Oryctolagus cuniculus: one gene and its partner. The protein of the gene in region 1 purifies or fractionates together with the protein of each later gene. This does not show direct contact. Links are inferred from orthologs where the notes say so. Each region holds a gene or a part of one and is shown in the gene's direction. Other genes may lie near its edges.

What was found. The genes of interacting proteins can lie anywhere in the genome.
Region 2: the proteins of TRAF3IP2 (region 1) and IKBKB purify together in Homo sapiens (affinity purification with western blotting; 3 studies listed by BioGRID, with this or other methods). This does not show direct contact. The link is inferred for Oryctolagus cuniculus from reciprocal best matches to the Homo sapiens genes TRAF3IP2 and IKBKB.

Annotation. Positions count from the first base shown.
Region 1 is NC_091436.1:59,984,011-59,987,756, forward strand, and holds the start of TRAF3IP2 (E3 ubiquitin ligase TRAF3IP2), read left to right. Parts: upstream 1-1,379; 5' UTR 1,380-1,576; intron 1,577-3,746. UniProt on the Homo sapiens protein: E3 ubiquitin ligase that catalyzes 'Lys-63'-linked polyubiquitination of target protein, enhancing protein-protein interaction and cell signaling. Transfers ubiquitin from E2 ubiquitin-conjugating enzyme UBE2V1-UBE2N to substrate protein.
Region 2 is NC_091433.1:92,513,592-92,517,237, forward strand, and holds part of IKBKB (inhibitor of nuclear factor kappa-B kinase subunit beta), read left to right. Parts: intron 1-1,546; exon of another isoform or gene 1,547-2,136; coding exon 2,137-2,227; exon of another isoform or gene 2,228-2,883; intron 2,884-3,133; coding exon 3,134-3,199; 3' UTR 3,200-3,646.

The DNA of each region.
Region 1 (3,746 bases):
CCTTACTGTCCTGGTTTGGCTACTTCTGACTTCTTTTTGTTACACACACACACACACACAAGCACACACTTTAAAGGGCACTCATTTGCTTCCAGTCAATGGTGGGAAAGACTGCTTCGGGACAAATTCTCAGGACTCTCAGCTCCTTAGGGATGGACTAACTGGCTGGTATTATTGACAAAAATGTCTTGAAGTTGGTAGAGTTTATGTTGGGAAATGAAGTTTATATTTAAAATTTTTATCTTTCCATTCCATTTTCCCTGAACTTCCTGAAGTCCCCTCATAGTCTCCTACTTTTAGGACATAGAAAACCTGACTCACATGTCCTTGCTGAGCCCCGTCGGGTGGGGTGCTCTAGGGAGTGTTTTGCACATGAGGGTGGAGACTGAGCCAGCTCAGGGAGCTGACCCTCAGAGTTCCCCAACAGGCAGACAAGTTCAGCCCCAGGAGCACCGCAAGTGGCCCAGTGCCACGGCTGGGTTTGTACCTCCCTCGGTCTCCCTCCAAAGCGCCTGGCACCTGTGCTGCCTTCCATGTTAGCCATCTTCACGTCCCCGCGCATTGCTGTGGTATCAGCCTGCTCCCAGCAGCTCTTCCGCATGATAAATCCCGTAGGGTTTAAACAACGAGGTTGTGGAAGATGCAGCCAGGGGCCCCAGGGCCTGAGCAGTGGGTTAGGCTGCTGCCAGTGATGCAGGCATCCCATATGACCACCAGTTCGCGTCCTGGCTGCTCCACTTCTGATCCAGCTCCCGGTTCATGTACCTGGGAAAGCAGTGGAAGATGGTCCAAGTACTTGGGGTTCCTGCCACCCACATGGAAGATCCTGATGGAGATCCAGTCTCCTGGCTTCAGCCTAGCGCAGTCCTGGCTGTTGCGGCCGTTTGGGGAAATAAATCAGCAGATGGAAGATAGAGAGCTCGCTCTCTGGCCTTCTCTCTGTAACTCTGCCTTTCAAACAAATAAATCTTTAAAAGAAAAAATGAAGAAAGAAGAAAAATGCCGCCAGGGGAGGACTCTGTGTGTGTGTGTGCCCGTGAGCAGTGTGGGAACACAGGCAGTGAGTCCCCCGTCCACGGTTATTGGAGCAAATGCTGGTGTTTTAAGCAGTCCCAGGAGACAGAAAGAAGCTCTAGCGACACACCCCTCCCCAGTATCTGCCCCATCTCCTCGGGTCCTGGAGACACCTTCTCAGGCCACGGCCCCTCCGTCACACCACGGGCCCCATATTCCTCCGCAGCCTCTTAGCTGGGTGGTGACATAAAAAAAAAAAAACACACACACACACCAAAAACGCAGCCTTATTGGCCACTGGCCCTCTCTAGTGAACGCAGGAGGTTTCTGTTTTAAGAAATAAAGTGACTCCTCGCCCGTTGATTCACTGCCCACAGGGAGATTTTGAGCCGAAGCTTCCTAGCCTCCGTAGAGATTTGCATACAACTTCCACTTCCGGCTTCAGATCCTGCTCTTCAACTTACCTGGGCCTGGGGAGGGCGGAGGGAGGCACCTGCCGCGGAGAACCTGGAGAGGCCGACGACCCTGGGGCCCCGGGCTGTCCGGCCGTGGCGGTTCTAAGGTAAGTTTACCCGGCTTTGCTGCGCGCCGGCCTGATTGCTTCACCACTGACCCATTTTCCAAAACGCTGTCTTTTCTCCTCTCTTGAAACGTTCCGCCTTCCTGGCCTCTGCCTACCGCCCCTGCCGGCCTTGAAACTTCACTTGTTCGTGCGGAGAGCGGCTGGGGCTGGGAAAATGACAGCTGACTCTGTGCTTCGGGAACGTGCCGCTGGTTTAGGGTTCCAGACGGGCCAGGCGCGATGAGCTGTTTGGGGGAGAGGAGGCACGCACGCCGGTACTTTTCAGAGCTGCCTGGGAACCATTTGTTTAGGTACTTGGTGTCCCCACAAGTTTCGAGCAAGAAATCAAGCCCCATTTCTCCGAGGAGGGAGCCAGGGATGGCAAGGATTAAGTCATTGGCTTCCAGCCTCAGAACACGTCAGCCAGCGGCAGCCTGGGAAGGAAAACTCCCAGATTTTCTCTATCCCAGTTTCCTGCGGGGGTGGGGGGGGTTTTAAAAAAAAATCAACATGACATTCTTGGGCCAGGAAGTTGCGAGCTGCCTCCCGGGCCTCTCCCCCGCAGCCCCCACCCGCCTCCCAAGCAGCGGTCCAGACCACTGCTGGCGCTAAAAGCAACCAGCGAAGGGGATAAATGCTAGTCCTTGACCTTAGAAGCTGATCAGGCTTCCTGGGAGTTTCAAGTTCAAGGTGGTCTTGTGGATTAGGAGGCTATTATTATTATTATTATTATTTTAAAGGAACTGGAGGAAAGAGGCCAAATAAATAATACAAAGGAAGACGAGAAAGTTGGTTTCAAGTTCTTGCTCCACTCCTTGGAGTGCCATGACTTAGGCAATTGATTTTGGCTCCTGGAGCCTGGATTTCTTCATAGTCAAGTGTTTGGGGGCAGGGCGGGTGGAGGGTGAACTCACCAGGTCTAAATTCTCTTCTAACAAAACAAGGGTAAGGTACTCCCGGAGGGGTAGCCGTAGTGGGTGGTCTTAGAAGATTGTTTTGTTCGCTGATAATTCACCTATATAAATTTTACGTCCTGCTACCAGTTCGTTAGCCCGTGGAGGAAAAGGACTTGGTTCCTTCGTACTTTTCTGCCCTCCCTGCACCCCTCCCCTCAAGCCAGCACCCATCAAAGGCCTCACAGGGGCTCTGCCTCCTCCTGACTTTCTGCTCTCCAGGCCAAAAGCTGGAGCGAGGCACGGGGGCCCAGGCAAGTCACCCGGGGCCCGGCTGCCTTGACTGTAGGCACCAGTGTTAGTTCTGGACAATAATGGAGAAAACCAGGGATTTCTTGAGTTAGTTCACATCCTATTTGGGTTACCCAGGAAGGAAGGATCGTCCCCACACATTTGCTACCAAAATCAACATGGGCCAGAGAACTGGCAGGCACCCCGGCTCCGGGAGCCAGCGTTGCCCGCTCCTCAGGAGCTGGAAACCACCCCTGCCCCAGCAGTCAGTGTGTGGGGGCCTTTAGCGGGATGGGAAGGAAACGGTGAGACACATGCTGACCCCTCGTGAGGGTGATGACTGTGACGAGATGCATCATTAGAGGGCGTGTACATGGACTTCTTAACCTTTTCCAAAGCACCACTGTGTTTTTTGCATGGCTGTTGCTTCCTTGGGATGATTACTCGCTGTCAGTCCAGGCTCTAGCTGATGGGTGGGGCTGGTGCAGGGCTTCAGAAAGGCTAACCTGTTTCTGTGGGGGGTATCAAGACCCTGCTGTGGCCTTTCTCTATCCCCCCACCACCATCCCGCGATGGGAGAAGCCAGCAATGGCAAGATATTTTCAATGCGATGAGTTCCTGGTTTTACTTTCAAGTAAGGACGCAGTATTTTCTGAAATCAGGCTAGTTGTTGGGTTGCCAGCCTAGCTTTGATCCACAAAAGCCACCCCAGTCTTTGTTCATGGGGGGAGAGGGGGGAGGTGGCATGGCACCGTTACTCTGCTGCGTGGGCTGCTGAGGCTGGGCATGGTACGCTCAAGTCGGGGAGAAAGATTCTTCACTCAGGGCTATGCATTTTCGGAGGGTGCTAAGATGGCAAGAGTTAATGGCTGCTTCTCCCAGGATCAAGGAGTTAGTGACTTTCAGATGCTCTGAAAATTAAAAGAGGAGGAGGAGGCAGTCATATTCGTGGGCGCTCTTTAATAGGCACTCAGAAAGATAGATCA
Region 2 (3,646 bases), on another chromosome or scaffold:
CTGCTCGGTGCCTCTCGTCCCCTCTTCGGTCCCCCTGCCTGATCCAGCGCACTGCAGGTGGACAGAACGGGCCAGGCCCTCCCTGCAGGGCTCCCCATGTCCGGCTTCCTGTTCCTCGCTGCCGCCAAGCCCTCTCCTGCCAGATCAGTCTTCCCCGAATCGCAGCCGAGTCATCTCGTGGGCAGCAGCTCATTCTCACTCCCCTCCCCATCTCAGAGATCGGGTCTGGACTTCCTCGGGCGGTGGTGGCCACCTCCACGTGGATCTGCGCACCGTTCTGCTCGCCCCTGTGCTAGTCCGCTTCTTAGTCCCACCCAGACCCGCAGTCCTGTGGGAATGGCCCTTCTCCCATCCCACCCGGGCTCCTTGGAATCACAAGCCCTGGCTGAGGCCCAGCCAGTCTTCCTTGGAATCACAAGCTCTGGCTGAGGCCCAGCAAGTCTGCGTTTGGTGCGCCCCCTGGTCGATTCTGACGCACGTGAAGCCTGGGACGCAGTACTCCAGCTCAGCCACAGGTGTCCCTCCCCTCACCATGCCACGTCTGCGTCTCTCTGCATCCACCACACTGGAAGCCTTGGGCACCCGGGCACATGCTAGCGCTCTCTTCCTATGGGGCTTTCATTCGGCATCTCTTGTATGCCAGACACTGGGTGCTGGAGACGTTAAAATCTATTCCTGCAGGCGAATCTCTGGGAGTAGGAAGTAGATGAACGAGTCCCTCAGGCAGGCGGAGAGGGTGGTGGGCAGTGCCTGATGATAGGCGGAAGGTCTCCTTCAGGGAGGATGAAAATGTCCTGAAACAAGATATGCTGATAGCTGCGTGATTTTGTGAATATGCTAAAGCCACTGAATTGTACATTTTAAGCAGGTGAGCTTTGTGGTATACAAATGATTATCTCAGGCTGTTCTTAAAAATCTGTTTCTGTCCTTGGAGTGTTTGTAGCCTGTTTTGGTACTTAATCCTACAGGACGACAGATTGTGGTTTTGTTTTTGAAAGGCATAGAGACCTAGAGAGATCTCCCCACACTGGTTCACTCCCCAAATGCCGGTAACAGCAAGTGTCCCAAGTGGTACCGTAAACGTGGTGCCAAATGCCCGCCCTGACGTGACCGTAGGTTCTTACTCTCCTCGGCCTCTGTGAGCCCCTGGGGAAGAGCAAGCGGGCGTGGCCTCCCTTGTTGCCCTCTGGAGCTGGCACTGAGCTGTGAGCTGGCGGCCTGTGGACGGCGTTTAGCGGACGCGCTCCAGGCTCCTTGGAATGCTGTATTTGGCAGAGTGAGGACATACTCAGCATTGAGGGCCCTAAAGGCCTGGGAGTGCAGAGGCGATGGTCTGAGAAGGAAGCATTACTTCCTGTACTCTCCTCTTCCCGCTGGGGCCCGTTCCTGAGCTTACTCAGGGAGGTCGCATCAGGCGGAATCACGTCCCAGAGCTTGGTTTTCAGCAGGTCTCAGGAAATTGGAAATCAGGTGATTTGGGAGATAGCGTTAGGCTCTGGCAGTTTGGAGAGTTAACTTGTAATATGTGGTAGGTCAGAAAGAGCTCTTTTTTTTTTTTTTTTAAGAATTACTTTATTTATTTGAAAAAGTTACAGAGAGACGTCTTCCATTCCGCTGATTCACTCCCCAAATGACCGCAACGGCTGGAGATGACCTGATCCGGAGCCAGGAGCCTCCTCGGGGTCTCCCATGCAGATGCAGGGGCCCAAGCACTTGGGCCATCTTCCACTGCTTTCCCAGGCCATAGCAGAGAGCGGGATCAGAATAGGAGCAGCCGGGCCTAGAACCAGTGCCCATATGGGAGGCCGGCGCTGCAGGCCAGGGCGTTAACCCACTGCGCCACAGCACCAGCCCCAGGAAGAGCTCCTTTCCTCCCGACTTTTTATCAGAGATCTGTTTGCTCCTTCGCGTCTTGACCGGTGATGCTCATGGCTGCGTTGGGCCCCTGACCAGTGCCTGAGGAGACAATGTGGTCTCTACCCAGTGCCGTGGTGGTGGTCTCAGACACCCAGGGTCAAACAGTTGGGGCGTCATCTTTAAATTATTGTCAAAAGCTTGTTAGCCTATTTAAAACAGTAGTGTCAGCTCTGCTAACTGACAGTGCCCACTGCCTAAGAGTTTGGTCGTTTTCTCTAGTGAAGACCTGGTGGCTGAAGCGCATTCTCTCTGCACCCAGCTGGAAAGCGCAATGCAGGACACCGTGAAGGAGCAGGACCAGAGTTTCATGGTAACAGCCCGTGCGAACCCAGCTGTCCAAGCCCTGTCTCCACGGCACAGGAGAGAAAGTGGGAGGGGCGGCTGGGTCACCCTCCACCTCAGCGTGTGTGTGTGGTTCTCTATGCGTGTCCTGTTCATACTGATAGGCGGCTGTTACTGAATGTGTGTAGGAACGTTGTGAGTGTTACCTTACTTAATCCTCGTGACGCAGAGTCCTGATGAGCAAGGGAGTATATCCCCGGAAGGCTTGCCCCACCCTGCCTTTGGGCCACTGCTGAACATCTGTGGTGGGGACCCTGCTCAGCTCTAGTGACAAAGCAGGAGCCTGTCGTGGTCCCACCCCTCAGACACTCAGAGCTTAGTGGCAGGCGGTATTAGTCCCGGGAACTAACCTGGAGAAAAACAAGATGTAAGGACAGTGCGACAAAGCTGAACTTGCCGCGAGGACCCAGAGGCATTCGTAGACCTCTGAGTCGCCTCCCAGCCTCCTGCAGGGGTTGTACGTTTTCCGAGGAGTCCGAGAGGACGGCAGCAGTCACCTCTGGTCTGTTGAGGTGTCCTCTCCGGTTCCTGGGCTTGCTGTGTCTCTCGCTGCACTGCTCCTGGGGCTGAACAGCTCACCTGCTCTTCGCCAGAGGACGTCTCCTCAGGCCGCTTGGGCCGGCCCTGCAGAGAGCGTCAAAATCAGGGCTGTGAGCTGCAAGTAGTGCGGCATCACCTTCCCAGTTTCTGTAGCACAGAATTGTGGGGCCTCTGAGCTCGTCCAGAGAACAGCCCTGTATGGCCTAGCTCGGGGTCCCTGCCGTCACAGGAGTGTTGCCAGCACAAGGGTTTAGGTGTACTCCCGCCCTGTGCTGGCTGCGTCCTCGGTGGTCTCGCTGGCGGCCGAGCGGGTAACAGGCCTGTTGCCTTTCAGACTCTTGACTGGAGCTGGTTACAGCCGGAGGAGGAGGAACAGAGCAGGCCGGAGCAGGCGGTGTGACCCACGTGGCGGCGGCTCTCCTGCAGCGGCTCCTGCCGTGCCGTGCCCAGGGCCCAGACAGGGCTGTCCCCTTCCCAGCCGCCGGGGCGCTCGCCTGCACCAAAGGCGTGGCCCTCAGCAAGCAGTGCCGGCCCGTCGTCTGCACACTGGAAGCCCTCATCCCAGAGGCCTGGCCAGCGCTGAGGCCTGTCTCGAGCACCCAGGGAAGCGAAGCCACAGCAGCTGCTTCCTCCACCATGAAGAAGGTGCTCAAGGTACAGTGTGCCCGGCACACCACAGGCGGTGCCTGCACGGGAACCTTTCGGAACAGTCTGGGCGGCACCTGGTGCGGGCCTGTCCCCTCCTGACCCCCACTCCGCCCCCGGCTCCAGAGGCCCGAGCCGCCTGTGCTCCATCACCTCACAGCTAGTGTCTCATCTGGATTCGGCTTCTCTTAAACAGACTTTT